7 linked regions of the Oryctolagus cuniculus genome follow. The protein of the gene in region 4 interacts with the protein of the main gene of each other region in a pairwise test. Links are inferred from orthologs where the notes say so. Each region holds a gene or a part of one and is shown on either strand. Other genes may lie near its edges. The genes, in order: TRIM27, TFIP11, KCTD9, GEM, LZTS2, PDLIM7 and AHCYL1.

What was found.
Region 1: the proteins of GEM (region 4) and TRIM27 interact in binary tests that used the Homo sapiens proteins (3 or more experiments, as listed by UniProt). The two-hybrid records come from large-scale screens. The link is inferred for Oryctolagus cuniculus from reciprocal best matches to the Homo sapiens genes GEM and TRIM27.
Region 2: the proteins of GEM (region 4) and TFIP11 interact in binary tests that used the Homo sapiens proteins (3 or more experiments, as listed by UniProt). The two-hybrid records come from large-scale screens. The link is inferred for Oryctolagus cuniculus from reciprocal best matches to the Homo sapiens genes GEM and TFIP11.
Region 3: the proteins of GEM (region 4) and KCTD9 interact in binary tests that used the Homo sapiens proteins (3 or more experiments, as listed by UniProt). The two-hybrid records come from large-scale screens. The link is inferred for Oryctolagus cuniculus from reciprocal best matches to the Homo sapiens genes GEM and KCTD9.
Region 5: the proteins of GEM (region 4) and LZTS2 interact in binary tests that used the Homo sapiens proteins (3 or more experiments, as listed by UniProt). The two-hybrid records come from large-scale screens. The link is inferred for Oryctolagus cuniculus from reciprocal best matches to the Homo sapiens genes GEM and LZTS2.
Region 6: the proteins of GEM (region 4) and PDLIM7 interact in binary tests that used the Homo sapiens proteins (3 or more experiments, as listed by UniProt). The two-hybrid records come from large-scale screens. The link is inferred for Oryctolagus cuniculus from reciprocal best matches to the Homo sapiens genes GEM and PDLIM7.
Region 7: the proteins of GEM (region 4) and AHCYL1 interact in binary tests that used the Homo sapiens proteins (3 or more experiments, as listed by UniProt). The two-hybrid records come from large-scale screens. The link is inferred for Oryctolagus cuniculus from reciprocal best matches to the Homo sapiens genes GEM and AHCYL1.

Annotation. Positions count from the first base shown.
Region 1 is NC_091436.1:154,135,823-154,139,995, forward strand, and holds the start of TRIM27 (zinc finger protein RFP), read right to left. Parts: upstream 2,801-4,173; 5' UTR 2,456-2,800; coding exon 2,036-2,455; intron 861-2,035; coding exon 765-860; intron 1-764. UniProt on the Homo sapiens protein: E3 ubiquitin-protein ligase that mediates ubiquitination of various substrates and thereby plays a role in diffent processes including proliferation, innate immunity, apoptosis, immune response or autophagy.
Region 2 is NC_091452.1:20,273,462-20,276,961, forward strand, and holds part of TFIP11 (tuftelin-interacting protein 11), read right to left. Parts: intron 2,357-3,500; coding exon 2,229-2,356; intron 1,007-2,228; coding exon 854-1,006; intron 1-853. UniProt on the Homo sapiens protein: Involved in pre-mRNA splicing, specifically in spliceosome disassembly during late-stage splicing events. Intron turnover seems to proceed through reactions in two lariat-intron associated complexes termed Intron Large (IL) and Intron Small (IS).
Region 3 is NC_091433.1:48,748,590-48,752,089, reverse strand, and holds part of KCTD9 (BTB/POZ domain-containing protein KCTD9), read right to left. Parts: intron 2,669-3,500; coding exon 2,572-2,668; intron 1,913-2,571; coding exon 1,854-1,912; intron 1,659-1,853; coding exon 1,530-1,658; intron 1-1,529. UniProt on the Homo sapiens protein: Substrate-specific adapter of a BCR (BTB-CUL3-RBX1) E3 ubiquitin-protein ligase complex, which mediates the ubiquitination of target proteins, leading to their degradation by the proteasome.
Region 4 is NC_091437.1:119,681,504-119,683,737, forward strand, and holds part of GEM (GTP-binding protein GEM), read right to left. Parts: intron 1,425-2,234; coding exon 1,220-1,424; intron 1-1,219. UniProt on the Homo sapiens protein: Could be a regulatory protein, possibly participating in receptor-mediated signal transduction at the plasma membrane. Has guanine nucleotide-binding activity but undetectable intrinsic GTPase activity.
Region 5 is NC_091446.1:28,872,964-28,876,989, forward strand, and holds the start of LZTS2 (leucine zipper putative tumor suppressor 2), read right to left. Parts: upstream 2,801-4,026; 5' UTR 2,556-2,800; intron 2,418-2,555; exon of another isoform or gene 1,693-2,417; 5' UTR 1,623-1,692; coding exon 1,572-1,622; intron 1-1,571. UniProt on the Homo sapiens protein: Negative regulator of katanin-mediated microtubule severing and release from the centrosome. Required for central spindle formation and the completion of cytokinesis.
Region 6 is NC_091437.1:63,489,781-63,493,836, forward strand, and holds the start of PDLIM7 (PDZ and LIM domain protein 7), read right to left. Parts: upstream 2,801-4,056; 5' UTR 2,647-2,800; intron 2,105-2,646; exon of another isoform or gene 1,837-2,104; intron 1,748-1,836; 5' UTR 1,737-1,747; coding exon 1,641-1,736; intron 1-1,640. UniProt on the Homo sapiens protein: May function as a scaffold on which the coordinated assembly of proteins can occur. May play a role as an adapter that, via its PDZ domain, localizes LIM-binding proteins to actin filaments of both skeletal muscle and nonmuscle tissues.
Region 7 is NC_091438.1:60,339,268-60,343,217, forward strand, and holds the start of AHCYL1 (S-adenosylhomocysteine hydrolase-like protein 1), read right to left. Parts: upstream 2,801-3,950; 5' UTR 2,534-2,800; coding exon 2,414-2,533; intron 1-2,413. UniProt on the Homo sapiens protein: Multifaceted cellular regulator which coordinates several essential cellular functions including regulation of epithelial HCO3(-) and fluid secretion, mRNA processing and DNA replication.

The sequences.
Region 1 (4,173 bases), on a different chromosome or scaffold from region 4:
AGGGGAACTGTGGTCTCAGCAGATTGTGTGGGCAGAGCAAGTGGTGGAATCTAAGGACACCTTAGGAATGAGCTCCCTGCTTAGAAGGGACACAACTTAGAACTGACACAATTTCTCTCAAGATTCCAGACACTGCTAGTCTAGGAGTTTGCTTTTCAGATGCAAACACCTCTAATGGTTAGAGGTCTGTAACATTTTATCTATTCCACTCACATTGTAAACACTTAGGTGGTAAATATGTAAGTGTATATGATAAAACCCTCTGTACTTTTTGTTTTTCTAAAACAAAACTCCAAAATACCCATATCAGAATTAGCACATCAGGTTCCTGCCAAAGCCTTGGAAGACTGCTCAAAGAAAACAGAGCGAAAAACTCTGTTTAGAAAGGGGAATGAACACTCCAGAAAGTCAACCAGTGGGGCTGACACAAATCCATCACCAGCACCTGTGAGAAGGATAGTGCACCACAGGATGCCAGCTAACTATTCTCAAGAATTTCACCTATCTCAAGTCTGCCAAACATCAGTCCTGGCCCACAAGCAGCTAACAAGCTAAACTTTACTGATCCAGCAGGTATCTATGACTCCCAAGCACAGCTCCTCCACCCTCTCCCCAAAAGTAGGGGAGCCCCTTGGTTCTCCAGGTTAAGTTTCCACTGCCACATGGGGTTGTTTCACTTGCAACTGGAAGAACTGAGCAAGTTGGCTTGACAGAAGCACGGACCAGCAAAAGCGCTATTATCTGGGAATTCCAAAAGCCCTTACCAGGAGTTCAGCGCGTGCCTGCTCCCCCTGCGCCCGGCGCCTCTTTTTTAAGTCTTTCACCCTTTTTAGATGGTCCAGCTGGTTCTGGATTTGTTCCTGAAAAAAAAAAAAAAAAAAAAAGTTGGGCAGGCCATAGTATAACCATGGCTGTTTTGCTTCCCCACAGACAGAAACTACAATTCTGATGCCAGGTGCCTGGTGCGAGCCTGTGTTCAGACCACACTACCATCCACAGAAGACTCAAAGCACAGGGGCCACCACCTCTCTTCTATGGCAATGTGTGCATTTCTTAAATGAATCCTCTACCCAGTTTAGCATTAGGGTGACTGGACTAGGAGATTTAAAGTCAAGTTGTAGACCTTCCACAGAGGTCCACTGAGAAAATGAAGCAACTTCTCTAATTCTCCTCATGTGTGACGGGTAAATACCACTTTCCCAGCCTATTCCAGTTACAAGGAGAGCAGGTGAAATGATGCAGTTAAAAGCTCCATGTTAGGTGACTATGCAGAAATGCATTCACTTTTAAACACGGACAAAACTGTGGGTATAATCCTGTAGCCCTCAAACACATAGCAAACAGACAACATCAAGGACGCCTGGAATGTCTCCTTAAAACTCTTTTGCACGTGATACTTTGTTTCCGTGTTATTGTTTTGCTGCCGCAGTCGGTTCAACAGTTTGCAAAAGGCTTTGCACTTCTTATCCCCTTAATCATAATACCTGTTATCTCCCGTGTCTCAGGATGGCGAAATGCCTTACTCAAGCAGTGGAGAAATGTGTTCCTTTCCATGAGCTTCTAGAACAAGACGGTTTACAAGAAGTGCTTACAGACTAAGTGACGGGCATCTGCCGGATGACTCGGACACCGCGGTCACCGTCCGAGCGGGTTTCCTCTATAATTTGGGAGCAGAGTGTCTCAGGAGCCTATTGATGTGTACACAGCTTTATGCACATCTTGTAGGGTGTCGGGTTTGCGGGTGGGGGTGGGGGAAGGGCTCCAGGGAACGTCTTTATGTCCATAGCGTCCGAGATCTGGGAAACACAGGGATAGGAGTGGGGGTGGGGTGGGGCGACTTCTGGCTTCCCCAGCAGCTACAGGTTTTCCTCCAAATCCGAGTGCGGAGGCTCGGGAGCGGACAGAGAGGAAATGACGGCTGTGAACCACACGTCCGGCTCAGCCATTTTCTAGGCAAGGAAAAAAAGGGGAAGCCCCCGTGGCTCTCCCCTCCCTTTGTCCGCCTCGCTGCGCGCGCGCCGGGGGGGGCCCTCACCTTGAAGCCCTCCACCGCCTCCTCGAGCGGCAGCACGCTGTGGCCGCGGTGCTCGCGGGAGCGGTCGCACACCACACAGATGGGCATCTGGTCCTCCTCGCAGTACAGCTTCAGCGGCTCGCGGTGCTTCTCGCACACGCCCATCTCGCCGCCGGGCCCGGACGGCCTCTCGGTGCGCAGCTGCTTCACCAGCTGGGTCACGTTGGCCAGGTGCCGGTTGGGCCGCATGTGCCGCTGCGGAAAAGTCTCTCGGCACTGCGGGCACGACACGTTCGTCTCGGCCGAGCCCCAGCAGCGGGCGAGGCACGCGCAACAGATGTTGTGGCCACAGTCGAGCATCATGGGCTCGACGAAGTACTGCAGGCACACGGGGCAGGTGGTCTCCTGCTGCAGGCACTCGGCCACGCTCCCGGAGGCCATGGCGCGGGCTGGCGGGGGCGCACGGGCATGGGCCCCCGGCGCCGAGCTCTGCGCGGAGCCCGACTCTCCGGCGCTCTCTCCGGGTCGCTGCTCGAGCCGGGCGGGCGGAGGGCGGTGCCCCTCGGGCCCGGATTCCCTGGGAGGCTCCGGCGGCCGGGCAGCTCGCTGCCCTGTTGTACCCTTTGAACGAGGCCCGGAAGGCTGCCTCCCGACGGAGCCCCGCGGCTACGCGGGTAGGGGGGCCAGGCGCGCAGCGCCTCGGGCCGGATTCACAGGGGCAGGCGCGCCAGGCGCGCAGGACAACGTGGCTGCGTCCAAGCGGATCCCGCAGGCCGCGGAGACCCCGCCCCGGCGCGACCGGAAGAGGCGGGGCGGCGTGGGGCGGGGCTTGCGGTTCTTGGCCTCGGGGCCTAGCTGTTTCCTGCCGCGGAGGGCGGCTTGGCTGGGCGCGCGCCCCAGGGCGGGACGGGTCGGGACGGGACCTCCGAACCGGGCGCTGAGGACCCCTGGTCTTTTGTGAGGTTTTCTTTGGGCGCTCAGGCCTTAGCCCTTGCCAGAGAGGGCTGGCTTTGTGTAGGACTGGGAAGCGCAGGCCCTGAGGCTAGCGGATGGGGCTGCAAACTGAGCTGCATCCGGTACGTGACGCACTTTGTTAAGCAGAGCCATCATTTGCTGCCGCTCGCCGTTTTGTTTAGGGGGAAAAATGGGTGTATTTATCATTCTGAAACATTTCCGCAGGGAGAAAAACCGCGAGCCTAGTTCTGCTACTCCCTATCTCTGCTCATGCAAGGTGTTTTACCATTCTGAGCCTCAGAATCGGTATACCTCAGCAAGAAGGTAGACTTAATCGTTTAATTTTTGAGCCGTAAGGATGTTTATCCGTGAAAACCGCAAAATACCCACGGCGTAGGGTTGTTGTATTGAGCGGCACCTGAAAACCTCTTGTTCCTTTCTGAAGTTCAGAGTGCGAATCCCACAGTGCCCCGGGGTCTTGGAATCCCGGGCTGTCTGTTCTCTTATCACACAGTGGATTTCCCGTCATCCCTACTTGGTATTTGCTGGTTTCCTTGGGATTTTTCTCAGTGTGGTTTTGGGTCTCAGCAGTAGGGCCTCTGCTTCCGGAACTTCTGTTTGGAGGGATCCGAGAGGCGAAGTGGACATGCCAACCCCAAGCCCACGTCCTCTGAACCACACTCTGAGTACCCAGTCTGTGAAATTCCAGACCCCAGTAACCCTAGCCCACTTACAAAAAACGTAGAAATATTGGGCGGGGCCATACTGTTCGGAGAGTCCATTAGACCTAAGGTATTTATGCATATTTGTGCAGCTTCTCTCCTCTCTTATCTCTCTTCTCATCTGGCTGAAAAAATAATAGGAATGCCGCAAAGGTACAGTGCTTAAAGTAAGAATAAGCTGACAGATCGATGGGACAGAATGGAAATTGAGAAATAGACTAAAATGTTGGTAAGAATTTGGTATCATGTAGAGGAAAAATCAGATTGGCTCTAAAAGTTCAATAAATGATCCTGGAACAACCGGGAAGGTGTTGGGGGAGGGGAAGACTACTTTTTATTTTTACAGATTTATTTATTTATTTGAAAGCCAGAGTTCTTTCTCAAAGAGACAGGGACAGAGACAGATATTTCATCTGCTGCTTCGCTCTCCAAACAGGCGCAACAGCAAGGGCTGGGCCAGGCTGAAGCCAGGAGCCAAGAGCT
Region 2 (3,500 bases), on a different chromosome or scaffold from region 4:
GTTCAACTGCTACCTGGGACACCCTCATCTCCTAGAGTGTCTGAGTTCAAGTCCAGGTTCTGATTCTAATTCTAGCTTCCAGCTAATGCACACCCTGGGGAAGCACTGGGTGTGACGGGGGCGTGACCTGGGTCACCACCTCTGTGTGTTGGGGGTGTGACCTGGGTCACCACCGCTTTATGTGATGGGGGCATGACGTGGGTGACCACCACTGTGTGTTGGGGGCATGACCTGGGTCACCACCACTGTGTGTTGGGGGCGTGACCTGGGTCACCACCGCTGTATGTGATGGGGGCATGACGTGGGTGACCACCACTGTGTGTGATGGGGCCGTGACCAAGGTCACCACCACTGTGTGTGAGGGGGCCGTGACCAAGGTCACCACCACTGTGTGTGATGGGGCCGTGACCAAGGTCACCACCACTGTGACGGGGGCGTGACCTGGGTCACCTCTACTATGTGTGACGGGGGCGTGACCTGGGTCACCCCACTGTGTGTGATGGGAGTGTGACCAAGGTCACCACCACTGTGTGTGATGGGAGTGTGACCAAGGTCACCACCACTGTGTATGACGAGGATGTGACCTGGGTCACCACTGCTGTGATGGGGATGTGACCAAGGTCATCACCCCTTGCCGTGAGGAACAACTGACGGAGTGTAACTGGATGATCATACTAAACCTAGAGTAACGAGAGCAGCGTGGCACTGTCATGGGCCACAGTAGGAGCGCTGCCCTCTCCACGCACGAGGCCCTGAAGCCCCCAGGAAGCTCAGGGATAGGCAGTGAGGGGCGGCCTCTGGGCTGTGGGACTGCTTTCTGTGGTTCCTGAACCCGATGTCCGGAGCCCCGTACCTTGACCTGCGAAATCTCCTTCTGGGGAGCACTGAGTTTCTTGCTGACCCTGCCCTTGGCCTTCAGCTCTTCCACCGTCTTATAGGAGTATTTGGGCTTCTTCTTGCTTCCGCTGGGGTCTTTCCTCCACTGGCTCAGCTCCTTCTGAAACTCCTAAACCCCAGGGAAACCACTGGTCACACAGGAAACAGCACTTCCCACAGCCTGTGGGACGAAGACCACTGACACCACAGGGCAGCCTCTCACGTTCACCCCAACTCCACACCAAGGCTGTGACGCTGCAGCCACCCAGCCTCTTACAGACAATGAGGCTCGGAAGGCGGGGCAGCAGCCCCGTGCTGCTGGGAGATCCAGAGATAAGGCCACCCCGCTGGGCATCACTGTGGGCAGGCTCTGCTGGTGTGAAACTGAGCGCGTGCGAAACTCAGAAATGCAACAGGAAGGACTTCAGGAGTACCCCAAGCCTCGGTTCTGATTAAAATGATAAACAAGTCTCAAGGTGAGGATCCACTTGACACTCGGGTGTATAAAACCCCTCTGCAGGGAGATCTGAAGAGAAGTGAGGAAGCAAGCCGGCCTGAGGATGGCACGGCGCAGCCCTCAGAAGTTGACGGTGTGGCTGTCCCTCCACTTTTCTCACACTGGTTTACACACATAATTTATTTTCTCAGACACTATCTGGACGTCTGCTGGCTTTGGGGGAATCAGATCAGGCAATCCCAAGCTCGTGTTGTCATGGCAACAAGTGCCTAGCGCCGAACACGAACAGCGGCTTTCCACAAGTTACGTCCTCAGCTGTGTGCCCGAGTCCCCACCACCCCCTACAGCCTGGCACCTGGCTCGTGGCGTGCACGCCCGTCAGCTCTGAAGCCTGAGAGCCCGACTCAGACCTGTCACTTCCACACTGTCCAGCGTGTCCTTGCTCACGAGGAGGCTGGTGACGACACGAGCGAGGCGCTCCCCTGCGGCGCCTGCCTTCCCGCTCTCTGTGGAGAGCCGCCCCACCCCTTCTGTCAGCAGCACAGCTGCCAGCAGGTGGCTCCTCCTGCACTCTGGGTGAAACCCAAACGCCTCCAACCCCCGCCCCACCCCTCCCTGAGCCACATCTCAGTGGGACTCCTTCCTTCCTGAGATCAGAGATCACTTCCGTCCCAGCCTGTGCCTTACACTTGGGCCACGCCCCTTCCCTGCCCCTCCTGTCACCTCCTCGTCTCCAGCACAGCCTGCATCCCTAAGCACGTGGAGCTGCTGGCTTACTGTGTGTCTCCATCCAACGGGCTCGAAGCCCAGCCCGGACAGCACGAGGCCTGACAGAACGCAGGAGCAGTCGGCCGCCCGCCACGGCACAGGACACCGAGGCCTGCCTTCCACTCACCTCCTCGGCTTCTTCTTCCGAGTCCACCACGGGGAAGTCCTGCAGGGACTGCGTGGTCCGCTCCGAGCCGTAGGCCCCCACGGCTCCCTTGCCCTTCCTCTGTTTGGCTTCGATGGGGTTTATGATGCCTGTCGATTGTCAGAAGACAGAGAGCTCAGACGGCAGCAATTCATGTGAATAAACCACTCGGGGATGTCAAGCAGCCTTGCCCTCAACAGGCAGCACGGTCCCCAGCAAGGAGAGCCCTGCCCTGCCCAGGCCCAGGCCATTGGAAACGTCCAGCACTTATGTGATCACACAACAGCCTGCTGACCTCACGTAACTCATGTCCCAACCAGAGGCTTGCACCGTGGATGGGAGAAAGCACAAATCACTTATCACAGAGAGCGCCGGCACACTCGATTCCCCGCTTCACTCCTCTGGAAGCTTCCATCAGGCAAAGTGCAGGGATTCAGACAACATGTACCCACGGACTCTGAAGTACAGGTGCACTTCATGGAGATGTGGCGTTTATTTATGTGAAAGACAGAGAATGACACATCTTCCATCCACTGGCTTCCTCCCCAGTTGGCTGCGACGGCTAAGACAGGGCCAGGCCAAGGCCAGGAGCCTGAAACTCCACCTGGGTCTCGCACGTGGATGGCAGCAGGGGCCCAGGGACTTGGGTCACCTTTTGCAGCTTTCCCAGGCACATTGGCAGAGAGCTGGGCTGGAAGTGGAGCAGCCAGGACACGTGGGATGCCAGTGTTGCAAGCAGAGGCTTACCCCTGCCCCACAACGGCAGCCCAAGATGCGGCACAAGACGCCGCCCCTGCTGCACTTCTTAGCTGATGTCCCCACACTGAGCTTTTCAGAAACACACTGAAGCCCCAGAAATACTCGTGCAGGTTGTTTCTCTCATAAAAGGATTTAGACAGGATTACAACTTTTCAAAAACTGCTCCCCTCCCTGCTTCCCACCTAGCGCTGGGGAAGTCTCACTCTTCCTCCCGGTCACCAGCCCTGCCTCACTCATGCTCGTGTTCTCAACACAACACAGATTTACGCCAACTACTAAAAAGAGACTGGAATTGGAACCACAGGCTTCACTCTTAATTACACCCTCGGTCACTGCCCGGGGAAAAGTTCTTGCAGGAAGAATCCAACTGCTTACTAGGGTGGTTGTGCAACCCAGGAAATGCGAACGTGCGACAGGGGCTGCGTCACAGTGGGGTGGGCTGTGCACCTGTGCTACAGACTATGTCGCAGTGGGGTGGGCTGCGCACCTGTGCTA
Region 3 (3,500 bases), on a different chromosome or scaffold from region 4:
GACCCAGCTTCTGGATAATGCTCATCCTGGGAGATATCAGGTGATGGTTCAAGTACTTGGGTCCCTGCTACCTCCATGAAAGACTGGGATTGAGTTTTAGGCTCCTAGAACTCCTATTGGGGGCATTATGGGTGTGAACCACTAGATGGAAGATTTCTTTCTGCTTCTGTTTCTCTCTCTGCCTTTTAAATAAATAAGTAAATAAAATTTTTAAAAATAAAGAAAAAATAATTTGGTTAGGAAAAGTTATAGAGCTGCCTGAAAAGGTCAAATAATATCATTTATTTCAATCAAACATTTAAAAAAGAATCCACAGTTTAATATTCGAACATGTAAAGGTTGACTGGGTATTTTAATTTCATTACAGAAACTGTAAGCTAGCAGTCAGCTGATTCTGATGTACTCAACATGTGCAACAAAAACATGCAACAGTATTTTGAAAATCAGAAAACTTTATATAGATAACCAGCTTTTATTTTAAAATCAACACTCTGGCACTCTAAGTCTACATTTTCATGTGCCAACAAGTTGCAGAGGCTGAGTAGGCATATTACCTAAAGACTGCCACATTCTCCACCCTACTGCAAGTACTAACATAAGACCAAGTCCAGACCCTTGGAGGCCTGTAAGTTTTAATATGCAACTACTGTTTTATAAGGGCTTTTGCCTACGTCTTTCCATAAGTCCTCATAAAAGTCTGTGACATAGGCAGAGAAGACAGAATTTTTATTTATTTATTTATTTTTTAAGGATTCATGTATTTGAAAGGCATAGTGACAAAGAAAGAACTTCTATACGCTGGTTCACTCCCCAAATGATCACATTAGCCAGGTCTGGGCTGGGCAGAAAAGCCCAAAACTCCATCCTGGCCTTCTACATGGGTGGCAGGGACCCAAGTCCTTGCCCAAAATGCCTTCCCAAATGCATTAGCAGAGAGCTGGATTGGAAACAGAATAGCCAGGACTTGAACTGGCACTCCAATGTGGGGTGCTGGGTCTCAAGCAGTGGTTTAACCAACTGCACCACAATACTGGTCCGCAGAAAATTTTTAACACTAATTTTTCAAAAAAGACTTAGAAACAATTTCACCAAGTCAATATTCTAGTAAGTTGTAGAACCCAGACTCTAATTCCAAAGTTTGGCTTTCTCTCTTGACTGCTATGCTTCTGAACATAATAGAAAGGCCCATAACTGGAAGTTACCCCATATTCACAATTCAAGTCTTAAAAAAAATTCTAAAGCCCCTTGTGATAAAATCTAAAATTAAAACTTGTGAGTTAGATATATACTCACACAAATACATGCATAGATAGATACTATACACACACACACATATATATATATTCTCTAAAGACAATATATACTTGTGCTAATATCTTTCTAAACCTGTATATACTCATATATATGTGAAAAAGTTAATTTTAAAAATGGAAAGGATATACTTTCACTCTGTGAAAATAAACATTTCTAAGTGAAGATAAAATAAAAACCTTAAACTTATAAAAATGTGAATTATATTGAAAACTCACCCAATAAATTAATACCATCATTTACAATGAGCTGCCCATGACGCAAGTAGTTCAAAATAGGTTCAAAGTACTCAGGACTTCGGTCAATTAAGAAAGCTCCTCTATGATCTTGCTTATTTCCCCAGACACCTGTGTTTCCATTATAATGAAGAAAGCCCCCCACAAACAAAAAATATAGTTAGAAATTTATAGAAGATAAATTATATGACATACCAACAAGTTTTACTCTTGTAAAGATTATTGATATCACTGAAAAGTACAAAAGGTCATGAATACGGGTACAAACAGACCACATAAAATGTGAAAACAGTGACTTACACTCACCTTTATCCTTGAACATGTGGGCCAGCATACTGTCAGGTTCTTTATTCACTAAAGTGCTCCTAAGAATTCAGGGAAAAAAATTGATTTCTCCATTTGTCTTTATAAACAAACACATTTAACTCAAGAGCATACTCGAATTCAGCTGCTCTCTCAACAAGATGCATGCTATCACCTGGTAGGAGTGATGCTAGGAAACAAAAACGTGCAGTAAGAGGCCATTTATCAAGATCCTTTCCAATCTGGTACTTCCTTTGACTTAAATATTATTTTAGTTTCTTTTATTTTAACTACTAATCTGTTCTTCTAGTATGCTAGTACATCACAATATTCTAGATTGTCTAAACTTACTTTTTAAAATTTCTTTAATGTGAACAGTTGTAATTTCTACAAATTTCAGGATTCTTAGTTTTTATTTACATTGCGTGTGTATATATACATATATATTATTCACTATCTGAAAAGCATGTTCTGAAACATAAAATTCAGGTCTTCATGCTTTCTCAGGAATGATCTGTAAACTAGGTCCTATTCTTTTCTTCAAAAAACTTTCTAAAAATGGCTTCAGATAACATGTTACACTTAAGCTGCATCTGAGTATCTTTTAAAGAAATCAGCAAATTGCAAGACAGAACAAATGGACACGCACAGTACTCCTTTTACTGACTCTGTAAGACACACACACACTCTTTCTCACACACACACACATACATGCACCTACCGTGTAGTTGTAAAGTACCGCCCTCCAACATTTAATGTTAGCCAGTCTGTGTGGGATCCTAACCATCCTTCAGCTGGTTTACAATCGGTCTGAGGATCTAGAGACAACATGTAGAAAATAGTAAACACATTAAGATTTGGAATTCTGCAAAGATGGCAATGGCATCATTGTTGAAACTAAATTCGCACATCAAAGTGTACCAGAGCTACTGGAGAGCAAAAACTCAAATCCATAGTATTCCCACCAATACTGACAGCTTTAAGAACAGCACACTATCAGTGTTTGTGAAGGAAAAAGCATAGAAACAATAGAGTATGTGATGAATCTGAGAACTCAAAAGCAATCCATACATACTAACTTCACAGTTCAACATGTCTATTTGAGAACAGCAGGCTGAAAGTGGAAGGTACATGCCTATATCCAAAATGGATGATGTAACTAGTTTAAATAAGATCTAAAGGAGATGGAAATGAATTTTCAAAACCAACCACAAAACTCCTTTCAAAAGACAAAGTTCCATTCTGATGACAAGATGCTAGGAAAAGAATATAAGTTGAATAGAATAAAGTCCAAAGAGTCCAGATGAAAGAAGGTTTACGAGGCCAAAATATAACATAAAGTAAGTCCTATATTTTTAAATACTTCACAGAAAACAAAAAATATCCCCAAATAAATCTTTCCTTCTCAAGCCAAGGAAAATTAATTTCATGTACAACTGAAAAACAGGAAGGCACTGAGGTCAAGTCACATATAAAAGGTTTTACAGCATAAGAAATACTAAGAAGAATTATATCCCTAGAAACAATGAAAATCTTCTTAGAAACAAATACAAAATAGATACCTATAATTTAGAATCCTAAAATATGCTAAAAAAGTAAATAATGCAAAATATGAAAGACCAGTATAAATCAGAATTATAAAATTCAGAA
Region 4 (2,234 bases):
ATTAAACCAATAAAAGTACAGCCTTAATGTACTGCAGACCTACCATGTGCTAAGAACTACACTAAGCTACTTCTAAACATTTTCAGTGCTCACAAAGGTCTTGGAAAATATATTAGTAATCTATTACCTAGATGAAAAAGATGAGAAGAGTCTTTTAAAAACTGAGGGAGTTCATATAGCCTGGAAGTGAGCCCAGGGCTGCTTCATTCTCAAGCCCGTGTTCCTAAATCTTTCTTCTGACTTGAAAATAAGGATGCTGAATATCAGAATGCTCCACTATGTGGCTTTCCTCTCTTTATAAAAAAGAAAAACAGTAGGGATGGGATATTTTGAAAAAGATTTGAGGGTTTTGCAAACATGTAAAACACAGCAAACTATCCTAGCTTCTCTGGAAGCATCTCTACTTCAAATGTTTCACGGTTTTCAATGACCCCCTACTGCAGTTCAGCCTTGGAAGACAATGCTTACTGTTGACAGTCACATCCTTGCAGTAAGACCTTGCCAAACTAGCTTAGGGCATTCTCCTTATGAGGCTTCTTTTCTCCTCTACAGGGCCCGGCAATGCAGTACTTTAATTTTACAATCATGGCAAAGACCAAATCTGCATTAGGCCAATAAAGTCCCAGTGGCCCTAAAAGCACTCGAGTCTGTACACAGCACATATGAATCAGCCCTGAACTAAGTGTGAACAAGTGTGCTTGACACCACCAGACTGTGCCTTAACTGGAAGCAGGGAACAGGGAGGAGAAGGGTGTTCCCAGGTTTAGAGGAACCAGAGTCAACCAGAATAAATGATTGCTTCCAGTGACTCTTTCTCCCAGCTCCCCTAAGTCAGAGTTCACTATCCTTCCTGTATGAGGACACTTCTTTCACTTCCCTGAATGCTTGGGATCTCCCTGGAGAATACAAAGGACAAAGAGAAAAGGTCAAGGACTGCCAGTATTTGCTGAGCATGAACTCTTCCCTAAAGGAATTCCAGGAAACCTCTTGGAGCTGGGGAGAGGAGAATCCTGCAGGTAGACCAGATGGCCAATAGAACAGCACCCAGCATGGGAATGAACTGCTGGGGCTATAGGAGTTAGTGGTACACCTAAAACTGTGTAGGACTGTTTTGAGTCCTTGTCCCCAGCCTCATGAGAGAGAGGAGGAAGGGCACCTGTCGGCAGGCAGAAGCACACCACCCAGGATGTTTCCGCAGTCCTGGCACCACCCCTCATACCTGATACAGACACTTCCCGGCACCGCACTAAATCACTTTTATTGCCAACCAAAATGATCGGAATGTCCTCTGTCTGCCGGGCTCTGCGGAGCTGGATTCGCAGCTCAGATGCCTTCTCAAAGCTTGCTCGGTCTGTGATGGAGTAGACAATAAGGTAGGCGTCCCCGACTTGCATGCAGTGGTCTTGCAGCCATTCGTTCTCCCCCTAACGAAATGACAAGATCTGCCGTGAGCTCATGCTGGCCTGGGAAAAGAGGTGTCAGTTTGCAGAGAGGCAGTATTTGTATCCTAAAGTGCCCATGCTGGTAAGAGAAGGAAACTACTTTCAACTCCCCAAAGTACATTGCTCGCCCAGGTCAACCAGATGCCCGGGGGCTGTAACCATGGCTGGTAGTACAGTATTTGTGTCAGAAGTTTTTACTTTCTGATTTCTTCTACAGCTTGAGTTGATAAATTAAACAAATACCCTGCCAAACAAAATTTCCATCTTCTATCTAAACTTCCAAAAAGGAGCCTTTTCTGACTACTCAAAAACATTTTGCTTTTCCCAAGTAACAAAATTAAGAATCATTTAAGGAGAATAGGTGGATTTTCTTTTTTTATAGAAAGCTTTTATTTAATAAATATAAATTTCATAAGTACAAGTTTTGGATTATAGCAGTTCTTCCCACCCCAAAACCATCCCACCTCCTGCTCCTCTCTCATCCTATTCTTCATTAAGATTCATTTTTAATTAGCTATATATACAGAAGATCAACTCTATACTAAGTAAAGATTTCAACAGTTTGCACCCACACAGATACACAAAGTAGAAAGTACTGTTTGAAGACTACTTTTTAGGTGGGTTTTCATTAAACAAAAGGTATAACTTACATGCTCAGAAGCCCAAAATCTTTAAAAAGCAAACATCAAAAACTAGCATTGAGAATAACAACTTCACCTAAGATGGTCTTATATAATTGAAAATAACTGTTCACAGGGCCGGTGTTGTGGCATAGCAGATAAAGCTGTTGCC
Region 5 (4,026 bases), on a different chromosome or scaffold from region 4:
AGCTCTCTGCTGTGGCCTGGGAGTGCAGTGGAGGATGGCCCAAGTGCTTGGGCCCTGCACCCCATGGGAGACCAGGAGAAGCACCTGGCTCCTGCCTTCGGATAGGCGCAGTGCGCCGGCCGTGGTGGCCATTGGAGGGTAAACCAACGGCAAGGGAAGACCTTTCTCTCTGTCTCTCTCTCACTGTCCACTCTGCCTGTCAAAACAAAACAAAACAAAAAGAATCCCAGCATCCTATACCCTCTCCCTATACAAGGCCTTGAGTCCCTGTGCTGTCCCCTGATCCAGGCCAAACGCCTTCCTGACATGAGTAACAACGCCCTGACCCCCCCCCCCCCCCAAGGCTCCTCTTCCAAGTACTGGCACGAATCTCATTTCTCTCTGGGCCCCAGACCACTGCTCCCTGGTCTGCACAGGGCCACCAGGCAGAGATGAAGGGATCGGAAGCCTGCACAGGGCCACCTGGCAGTGGAGGCCCAGACCCAGACCTGCAGCCCCACGGAGACCAGGACTCAGGTTAGGCAAGAAGCCCTCTCTCCCAGCACCTGGCCCAGGTCCCCAGTCTCCTGGGACAGGTGGCCTCGTTACAGGGCAGTTTGGGCAGCGACAACCTCAAGGACACCACCAGCAACTCAGACAATAATTAGGGAACAAAGAGCCAAGGCCAAGCAGCGCCCCACCTCCCCCTATTGGGCCTCAGTTTCTCCCAGACAGAGAGGCGGCAAGGGTGGAGCTGGCCAAACAGGCAGTCCACAGCTCTCAGGGCACACACACCTGCCTCCTGGAGGTGATGCAGGCACTTGCTTGTTTCTATGACAACCCCTACCCTCTCCATACCCAGTCAGGGTGTGACATGGGGCCTAAAGGAGCCTTCATGGGCGCTGCCCGACTCCAACCTCTATCAGAAGCTTCCAGCTTCCGCCATCTCCAGAGAAACCCCGATGGAGGCGGAAGCCCCACCATCACTTCTGGCAGCTGCTCCAAGACCTCACCACCTCCCCGGGCTCTGCTCCTTCCTGGAAGGGGAGAGCAAGCCTCCCTGGGGAACTCCCTCCGGTCCCGAGGCCGCAGAGCACCAGGGCTCTGGCATCTGCCGAAATCATCATGCAGAACGTGCAGGCCAAGGAGGCGGACAGAAAACTTCCTGGGAGTAGGAATGTGTGCGTGTACAGGTCTTCATGGCCGCCTTTATGCCCAGGGGCAGCAGAGTGAGCACTGCGTGCCAGGAATAATGCGTGTGAAAACATGAGTGTGTGTTTGGACATGTTCAATACATACACCCGTCTAGGTGTGAACTAACGTGTGAACCTCACACGTATGCGTGTGTAATTAAGGGTCACCATGCAAGTACGCAGGAGTAGTAAATGCACAGGTAACAGGTGAGTGTGCTGAGATGCTGAAGAGGAACCCAGGACATGGGTTCCCCCCCGCGAACTCCTGTGTGTGCACAGCAGGCCGGCCAGAGCCGGGTTACCCACAGAGAAGGCTCTGAGGGCAGGCATGTCGGGCACCGGGGAGTGCGAGGGAACCCGCCAGTTTTCACTCTGGAGTGTGGGGAGAGGGGGAACCACCTTTGTCCGAGCTGTTCCCCTTCTTTCTTGCTTGTGTTCCATCGAGTTCATCCCTTTCCTCTCTACCCAAGTGAAAAGACACCAAGAACCAGGTCGGTGTCAGTCCAGACTGCCGGAGGAGCTGCTGGGAGCAATGGTGGGCCTGGCTGCAGGGCTGGGGCCTGACAGCACCCCAAGCTCCAGCCCTGGGCAACGCGGGCACCCGGGAGCCTCCTCCTCCCTCTGCAGGGCCACGTAAGGCACGGACAGGACGGGGGAAGGGGCTGCTAAGGGGGCCATGCGGGCTGGCATTTCTGTCCGCATTTCTCCTCTTCAGGGAGCACAGAGAAAAGTGAAAACTGAAGGAAGGCGATGGGCCCACTCGGAGAAAGAGCCAAAGGCCGAGACAAAGGCTCAGGGAGGCGCGGGGGTCAGGCGGCCAAGGAAGCCAGGCAGGCCGGCCCATGGCGCCAGGCCCCGGAACCGCAAGAGGCCAAGGCCCCCCAGACCCAGAGCGACGAAAGCCGGCCAGCCAGGCCCAGCCAGTAGGACTCCCGCTCTCAGAGCCCGACTGAGAAGGAGGGGCAAGCCGAGGCTCCATTTTGAGAAATGCGCCGTGGCTGTGGGCAAAGGGAACCCCTCGCTCTCCCGAGTAATCGCCGCGGTGGGCAGGACGGAGGGCTGAGGGCTGGGGCTCAGCCAGGGCCAGCGACGGCTCTGGCCGCGCTCCGAGCTCGCGCAGACCTGTTTTGGGGGCTGAGGAGTTCGGGAAAGTCGCCCTCCCACCTCAACTCCAAGAACAGTCACGCAGGCTCAAGTCTGGGATCCGAGTTCCCATTCCGAGGCAGGAAGCCGGGACCCCTCCCCCCGCCCACCCCCACTCAGCCGACGACCCCCCCCCCCCACCAGCACGGCGGCCGCCGAACGCCGCCTCCCCTCCCGACGCCGCCGCACAGAAGTTGGGGGCGACCCCGGGTCTCCTCCCGGCCCCGGCCTCCCCCTCACCTCCGCCGCGCTGCTCCATGCTCAGCCCCGGGCCGCCCCAAGCGCTCCACAGGCGCGCCGCCCGGCTCCGGCCCGCGCGCGGCCACTCGGAGCGGCCCGACCCGGCCGGGCCCCGCCTCCGCCTCGGCGGCGCACCCGGCCCGGGCCAGTCCCCTCCCGGCCCGAGTGGGCGGCGCGGCGCGGGGCGGCGCGGGGGAGGGGTCCGAGGGGCGTCCCCGCCCCGGGGCGCGGACACGCGCAGGCACCCCACGTCACGCGTGTCTGCTGGGGCGCACGCAGGGGCTGCGCGGCGGCGAGCGGGACCCCTCCCGCCGAGTCTCGGTGACTGCGTGTCGGACGGCTCGGTCGGCTGTGGATTCGGCGGGCGGGTCACCCCCTACCAGAGCCGGGCCCCGGGGCCAGCGGCAGCTGGTCATTGTTCGAGCACAAAGGGCCAAGGCGCGGCGCGGCGGCCCCTCCCCCTCGCTTCTCTAATCGAAGCCCGCCCCAGACACTCTCCAGCTTCAGAGTCCAGAGCGGGAAGCCGAGGGTCAGCTGCCCGCCGCTCCTCGGCTGCCGGGGCCCTGCGCCCCAGCACTAGTCGGGGGCCGCGGCCAGGTCCCTGCCTGGCCCACCCCACAGCGGGCTGGAGGCGGTACACGAGGATCTGCGGAGGCGGCGCCACCTGGCGGTCGGTTCTCAGAGCACATCTACTCGCCCCCCGACCCAGGGGGGTCTTCTCCCACTCCACAGCCCGTGCCCGTGGACGCCAGCCCAGGCCTGCCCTTGGCGCGGCTCTGGACTCCCCAACTTTCCCTTGGAGTCGCTGGCTAAGAGAAGGGTCATTGCCCGGGGAAGGGCGGCTTCTGGCCTCCCCAGTGGAAAGGCACAGCCCAAGCCTACACCAGCTTCCCACCAGACAACATTCCACGGTCTCCTCAGGGTCACGCATATGCTCACCCTCTTGGAAACAACATCTTAACACCCACACGACCTTTCCCACATTCAGTCTCGGGCAGCCGCAATCGCAGAGCTTCATCCGTCACGTGGTCCCCCAGGCCTCCTTCCATGCACTCCCAGGCCAGCTCCCGCGCAGCCCCGCGTCACACCGGTTGTGCATTAAGTCTTTCACAACAACTCGCAGGCCCTCGCACCTCCCAGCATCTTTCACATGCTGACAGCCTCGCAGTACTCACAAACAGCTTCTCATACTGCACACCGTGTTTTGCATGCACTCTATCACACAGACCTTTCCTTAGGGGTCTCTGTGACCTGGCCAGGTCAGCTGATGCCCGCTGGCCTTGGCGAGGACGGCCTCCCTCGCCCAGACGGCAGCCCTCCCCCGCAGGGCCAAGGCCAGCCAGAGCTGGGCTCTGCCCCAGGAAGGAGCATCCCCCCCTTCCAGGCCACAGCCCTGGCCGGCGCTCAGCTCTATTTTTAGCTCGATGGGTTGTTTTTCTTTCTTTTTCCCTGGAAAGGGAAACATAGCCCA
Region 6 (4,056 bases), about 56 Mb from region 4:
AGGAGAGGGGGGCGTGAGTCAGCCCAAGGGCTCCACTGGGCAGCCCAACCCCTCCCCCCACCAGTCTCAGACGTTACCTCATCTCCCAGGCCTGGGCCCACAGCCAGCCCTCGCCCCTCCCGCCTCCCTTCATTCTGGGGTCAGGAGAAGAGGAGGGGGCTGGCCCAACGCTGAAAAAGACCACTTCCATCCACCCACCACCAGGGCCTGGGTCCAACTCCAAGGCTGGGCTTAGCTGCTGGTCCCACCCCTGGGCTGGGGCGGCAGACAGGGGAGCCTGGGCCCACAGTGCCCCCCGCAGGCCACATCTGAAAGATCACTCTCATCAGCAAAGAGGTGAGGCGGAGACCAGTCCGACCAAGTCTCCCAGCCACATGGGGTGGCATTTTCCCAGGGAGGGGGATGCAGGGTAGGTTTCAGGGTGGAGTGTGTGTGTGTGTGTGTGTGTGTGTGTGTGTGTTAGGGACCTGCCTGCCCCAAAACTCTGCAGAAAGATACCGGGGGGCAGAACACTGCCTGCCCCGGCCACCAGGCCAAACCGCCACGAACAGACTCTGCCCTGGGCCTCTCTCAGACTGCCTGGTGCCTGGACAACACTCAGGCCCCTCAGGCTGGGCTTGCCCTGGGCTTCCTGCCAACAGCTGTCTGCCCACCAGGCGGCTGGGTGGGCCTCCCTGCACTGGCGGATGTAGGGGCAGGAAGTCCCCGCCCCCTCCTGACCCCCAGGCCAGAGAGAGAGAGAGAGAGAGGGACTGGCCCAAGTGCTGGCCTCACTGCTCTGGGCGGGTGGTTTCTTTTCTGGGTCCCAGGAGTCACAGCCTGGCCACCAGGGGAGGGGGCTCGGAGGTCCAGGCACAGGCCAGCCCTTTTCAGCTAGGTAGACTCCAGCCACTGTTGGCCATCCCAGCCTGGGGCTGCATTCTTGGGCTTATAAGGCAATCCCCCTGCCATGGGGAGGAGCCAGCCACCAGCTCCGCCCCACCAGGGCAGGCTCTCAGGAATTTGGGTCCCAGCCCTACAGCCTAGCCTCACCACACCTTCGCTCAGGGTCAAAGGCCACTACATCCTAAACCAGGACCAGTTGGATGGAGACACAGGTCCTCTCATTGACTTGGGGACCTGTAAAACCCGCAGGCTGTCCTTGCCCAGTTTCAAATCTCTGCTTTGCCGTGGACAAGCCCTCCACCATTCCAAGTTCCCTCCTTTGGACAAACAGGATGGCAGCTGCTATCCCCTAGGTGGCAGTGAGGCGGTGGTAAGATTCCACAGGGTGCTCTGCCTGGGGCCAGGCTCCCGAGCACTGTTCTCAAGTTTAGATCCTTGCTGAATTCATCAAGCTCCCTCCCACACCAATGGGCCTTCTCCCTTCTGCTCGGCCCCCAGAGGTGACCGCAGAGGCTCGGTGAAGTGGCATCAGGTACAGTGCACAGATATGGGAGTCTGGGGGCTCCACTCCCCTGTCTACCTAGGCAGGGGTCCTGGGAGTAGGCAGCCACCACTTTTCTGGACCTGGACAGACACCTCCTGGCCTGCTGACACCTGGGCCTCCTGCTTAGATTCCCCCTGGAGACCTGAGCAATCAAAGACAACCTTCCCACCCCACCGCCGCTATTCGGAGCCCCTCTCCCAACCAGGCTTACCCGGGAGATGGAGAGGGGCACATTGAAGTCCTTGCCCCCTTGCAGCCGGAAGCCCCACGGTGCTGGACCCTCTAGCAGTACTTTGAAGGAGTCCATGGTGTCGGCTCCTGAGAGGAGAAATGGGAAAGTGAGCGTCCCAGCTGCGGACGCTAGCCTTGAACAGGTGCCAAGCAGGCAAGACAGACACTGAGCGCACCCCAGGCCCGGGTGGGCACGTATCTGGCCAGGCTAGGCTGTGAGGCTGGCTGGCAGACCTCACTTCCAAAAAAAAAAAAAAAAACAGACAAGGGCAGCCCCCCGCCCAGGGCCTGGGAGGGTGAACCTTTCCCAGGCTTAAAGTTCTCGGTATCCACGGGTGGGACTAATTTGGCACGGCTTCCCCCCAAGCCAGCCTGGAGCCTCGGGCAGCGGGGTGAGTCAGGGGCCGGCTCTCGGCTCCCCCGCCCCCAGGTCCCGGCAGGCAGGCCGCGGCTGCAGCCTGCTCGGACTATATAAGGCGTGTAAGCTGATACTGCGCGGAGAGCAGTGGAGGGAGCCACGGGGGCTCCGCGCGAGGGGGAGGGGTACGGGCGCGAGGCGCCTGGAGCGCGTCCTGGCCATTCCAGGGCAGGTCGAGGCTTTTGGGAGCCGGGGCGGGACCCCTTGGGCGCTCTGAGCGGTTGGGGGCAGGAGTGGGACGAGTCTCCAGCGGAGAGCAGTGGGGACCCCAAAACGTGGCCAGGAAGGGGAGCTACGCTGGTGCCTCCCGCACAGGACTGTGCCCGCCCTGCCGTGACTCAGTTTCCCTCCAGCCCCCAGCCCAGGCACCATGCAGCGGCGCAGGCGCCAACCGGCCCCGCCACAAGCGGGCTTCGCCGCAGGAAGGCGGGGGCGGGGGCGGAGGCAGGGGCCGAACCCGCAGGAGCAGGCCCAGCGCCGGCCAAGACCCCCAGTGCGCTCCGTAGTCTTCAGAAGGCCCCCGGCCCCCGCCTGGTTCGGACCAAGAGCCCCGCGCGTCCGCCGGTACCTGCTCTGCCCCGCCGGGGCGCTGCTCCGCGGCGGGCTCCTAGGAGCCGCGCTGGAATCGGATCGGCAGACCGCGTTCTGGCCCCGCCCCCGCGGACACCGCCCGCTTTGAGCCTGTGGAAGGGGGCGGAGTGGGAGACCACGCCCTCCGCGTGTCCACACCCACAGGCGGTCGCTCTGCCGGGGGAGAGCCCCACCCAAGCTTTCCGCCTTGTCCAATCACGAAGCCCCGTCTGGCTCTGAGCACACGGCGCTGCCCGCCCCTTCTCCTTGAGCGGGGCAGGGCCTGGGCGGGGCCTGGCTGCGGGACGCCGCGTCGGGAGGACTTTGCTCCGCCCACGCCTCGCCCCGCCCCCTGCGCCTCCCGCCAGCAGGGGAGAGAGACCTTCGAAGCCAGGCCCCACTGGACGTTAGCCGTGTCCTCGGGAAAATGGGGCGCTAGTGCTCCCCAATTGGGGTTGCCAGAGGGTCGGTATGGGGGCGTCGGGGTGAGGAAGGATGAGAGGGACGAGGAGTGACCGTGCAGCTGCATTTGCCGTGGACAACCTGAGTGGACGAAGCTGGAGGGCGTCCTCGGCTCGGCCTCGCGCCGGTCTCCGGAGCTCGGAGCCCGGCCCCACGCGCAGCGCATGCACCGTGGTGAGCGCCCGGCGCCCACGCTCCTCCGCTTTACAGACATTCTCTCCTGAACCCACGCCCCTCCGCGGCCCCCAGTCCTAGAGGGGCACGCACTGGTCGCTGCGGCCCCGGTTGTTCCTGGTGACCTGTAGCAGTCTCCTAATGGGCCCCTGCTTTCACCCTGGTCCCCTCCGGGGCCTTCTCCAAGGACCAGCTCAACTGATACTGTTAAAGGGAACTCACACTCAGCTTTTAGCATTCCAGTAGGCTCAAAACTAAGCCTTAAGACTCATGTAACTTGGGGGCCACGCTGTGGCATAGCAGATAAAGCCGATATGGGCGCTGGTTCCAGACCTGGCTGCTCCACTTCCGATCCAGCTCTCTGCTATGGCCTGGGAAAGCAGTAGACAATAGCCCAAGTCCTTGGGCCCCTGCACCCACATGGGAGACCCAGAAGAAGCTCCTGGCTCCTGGCTCCTGGCTTCGGGTCGGCCCAGCTCTGGCCGTTGCAGTCATCTGGGGAGTGGACCAGCAGATGGAAGACCTCTCTCTCTCTCTTTCTCTCTGCCTCTCCTTCTCTCTGTGTGTAACTCTGACTTTCAAATAAATAAAGAAGACTCATATAACCGTAGTAAACAGGGCCCATTGCTCGCTCACTCTGCTCTAGCCAGGTGGCCTCCTCACTGTTCCTCCATGTGCCAAGGATGTTCTGGCCTCAGGGCCTTTACACGGATCATTCTGGCTGCTTTCAGTTTGCTCAAGTCTCCGCTGAGATGCTGCCTGCTCTAAGGGG
Region 7 (3,950 bases), on a different chromosome or scaffold from region 4:
GTTCATTCTAGTCCTTGGCAAACAAAGTTAGTAAAAGCTGACCACCAAAGACCGGATCGGACCCGACTGCGGACCGTGAAGGTCACCCTGGAGCAGCCTACTTCCTCTGGCACCAAGAACCGCCTCAACTCCAGAGGGATCTCAGCGCTCAGCAGGATCCAAGGACTTCTTGGTTGAGAGCCAGGCCGGAACCCTCACTGGTGAAAGACTGCAGCACGGGAACCGGCCTGTTTCTCACTGGTTCAGTTTGTTCCTCGTGCTTTTCCCACACTTTCACGTTATCAACGCATGGCGGAGGCACAAAGTGACTTCAGTCAGAATGGCCTATTCAGCTGAAGTTCTGAGAAACAGATTACGCTGGACTCCCAATGCGACCTTGACTGGTCTTCAACTGAGCCATTAACTAAATAAATGCTTTTCATTAGTCACCATAAAGCACTGTCATCCGAAGGCTGCGCAATTGCTAAACAATACAGCTCAGAAAGGATGAGATAAACAAGGAACACGGTGGGGGGCCACGTTCATGTTCATCAGCAAACAGAAAGTTGGGACAGGGTCTTTCCCCTCATTCCCAGCAGAGACTGCTTCTATTAGCTAATAGAATGGGAGACTCTACCATCATCAGCATTTGGCCTGACGTTAAGACACATGAACAATATCCTGGGAAGGAGAGAGGAAGGCGGTATTTATTCCTGATAGGCAGCCACACAGACATCTCAGTTACCAGTTAGCTAGGTGGGCAATAAATATTTGAGTACCTTCTATGTGCTAGGTACAGAGTGAGGCACGACTGACAGAACGGTGAGCGGGAATCCCTGACTGCATGGGAGTTTAGGATCCCAGTACAGACTTCTGTCTCAGCAACAGTGGCACCTGCAAGAACACAGGCAAATACCTGACACTCTGAAGCAGCTAGACAAAAGAGGAGGAGCCGGGGCAGAGGAAGAGCCCAGGGAACTGAGGTACCAGGGCCTTCCATCCTGCCATCCAGGGCTGCAACCGGTTCTTCACAACACAGAGAAGATGACAGATGGTCACTGCCCCAACAAAGCAGCCGGTTCAACTGACAGCCCTAAACACGAAGGGTCCTCACACTGACCATCAGGGGCCACGATCTCTCCAAGGCCTTGTGGATAAAAACCGGAATTCTGTGAGAAAACAGAACTGAAGCACACAGCAATGACTTGTCTTTTCTACCTTGCGTTTCAAGTCTGCAGCTGCACACTGGTTCCCTTAAGAAAAAAACGAGAGAGCCATCTCTCCCACTTAAGACAGCTTAAGTGGTTCAAGTGCGAGGGGCCCGCCAACTCTAACTGTTCCTGCAAACCCTGCTCCGTGCAGCTTGTAGAGGCGTGCATCGCGTTAAACACCGCAGGAAGAGGCAGCCTCCAATCACTCTGTCTTCGCACAAGGAGGAACTACTTCTGCCGGTTCTCTCCGGCTTCAGAAAGGTCACCTCTGGTCTGCTGTTAACTGCGTGCCAGGTATGTGCAAAGTCAAGACGTGGTTGGCAGTAAATGATTAGAAAGCACTTGGGATCCCAATCCTACTGTGCAGAGAGCCAGTTAGCCTAAAGCCTCCAAAGGTTACCGTGTACAAGAGAACCAGAGGGTGTCCTCTGAGCTCAACCCACAGCGCGAAAGACTCAACTCGTTCTGCTTCGGGAAGGGCGGCAGAGAATGAGCAACCGTTCTTTAGCACCCACCCCTCCAACCCACCCAAGCTCCGTCTCCAGGCATGCCTAACTGATTCACACACGCGACTCCAGGAGCAACCTGCATTCGTGCCACCGTCTGCCGTCACCAACCTCCACACGTCAGCGTGCCACGGACGTGCAAGCAAATGAAGACCGCAGGTGCAAATCCCAGTTGCTTATCAAGCGCACGCTGCGGTCACCTGCATAACGGAGCGAGCTCCACGCACTCTCTCCTCTTGCGGCTCAGAGACACGCAGTCGTGTGGGACACATCGGCCGCTGCTCCCAAGGTTTGCTCGCAGCAGCTCTGCCAATTGACCCACCCACCCGAGAGAAGGATTTCTGCACATCCTCAACCCCCGGGCTGGTCTCAGGGATCGGCCAAGTTGGCTCGCCCCCCTCCCACTCTCAGCTCCGAGGCCCTTCAGCCAGAAATCGGCCGCCAATTGAAGGCCCGGCTCCGACGGGTTTCCAAAGGGTCCCAGAGGACTAGGGCCGAGGGACAAAGGAAAGCCAGGTCAGGGTTGGTCTTCTCAGCCCGGCACAGGCCCGAGGCGGCTCCTCGACGACCGCCTACGCCACCTCCGGGGTCCCCGATCGTCCCCGACCCTAGTCCTTCAAGCTCCAACCAGCCGTCCCCCGCCCCGGCTCCTGCTGGCTCGCGCCCCTCCGCAAGGCCGGAGCCCAGACCCGCGCCGCCACCCAGAGCCCCCCGCACCTTCTTGGGCGCCTTGGTGACGGTGGCCATGAACGAGTACTTCTCGGCGTCCTCGATCTCCTTGGCCTGCTTCAGCTCCTCCCCGACCCCGGGCAGCGGCATCGCGTCAGGCATAGACATCCCCCGGCCGGCCAGGCCTGCGGCCGTCCCGCCGCCCCCGCCTCCTGCGCTCACGCCCGCCCGCGCGCGCGGCGCCCTCCGACACGCGCTCGCCCACCCTCCCGCCGGGCCCCGCGCCGAGCCGCGCCGGCTTGTCAGGTGCTGTGGCCGGCGCCTCCCCGGCTCAGCAGCCCGCAAAGCAGCAGGGCGACGGCGGCCCCAGCAGCAGCGGCAGAAGCACCAGCGCGGAGCTCCGACCTGCCCGCGCCGCCACCTCCGCCACACGCAAACACGCACGCAAAGTAAGGGTAGAGGGCGGCGACGCCACGTCAAGTACTGGCAGCTCGGGGGACGGGGAAGAGGCGGGAAGAAACGTCATTCTTCCTTGACGTCACCACGCTGGGCTGGGCCTCAGGGGACGCCCTCCTTCTTTCCCACTGGCGGGTAGGCGCTCCCAGGGAGAGCCGAACACTTTGCGCCGGCAGGTGGCACCATCAGCCCTGTGAGTAGCGCGCCTTTCCCGCGAGGGTGCCGCGCCGCCGAGGGTCTCCGTGTTGCGGGATTCCGGGCGAGGCCTCAGAGGGGCGTAAGAGCGATGCTTGGGAGCCTGGGATACATCCAAGGCCAGAGAGGGCCCGCTGACACCCATGCCCTGTCTACTAGGCTCTTTGGACCCGAAACGCCTTCCCACGGGGTTAGCGTTCGCCTCTTTGACCTCACGGTGCGGGGGGGGGGGGAGGGGGGCAGCGCGGAATCGGAGCGGTCTGGTGTGTCCACACAGCCCTTTGTGACTTCTTTCACCACCGTCTCCTCCTGGGCCCTGCCTGTTTACAAGACCTTCAGCCCGCAGAGCTGCCGCGGAGCAGTCTCTGGGACAGGGCCCATGGGTCAGTTTGGCCAGCAGGAGGTGGAGGGAGGGGCACCCAGCGGGCATCCAGGGCGTTCTGGGGTTGCTCATGCCCTGGCCTGGGCCCTACTGTGTGCAGTCCCCTTGCCAAGGCGAAGGTGCACGTGACACATGCATGTTTTGCAAGGTTTAGTTCCGCTGGAAAGGCGAATCCTGTCTGTGGGCTATGGTCAGCTGAGGCTGCTTGTCCTTTAAGATGGTAATGACATTGGCTGTGATTCCCGTGTCCTGTGGAAAGTCCAGTGCCCTCCCCCAGGACTTCTGTGAATTGCTGGGGGTACTTGGGTTCTCATGGTTACCCCCTGGCTCCGGTTTTCTGCTGGTTCTAGAATTTTAGTCACTCTTCTGGTCTTGTGACTGCTTCTTTAGCTCCTTCTGTCCATTCAGCCCCTGCTTCCCTCCACCCCCAACCCTAGTCCAAAGCAACCATGAAAATAAGGCTGTGACATGGAGCAGAGCTTTTAATGGAGGTTTGTGGGTCACAGGGGACAGCTTACATCATACAGCAAACAATTTAAAATCCCATGTCTG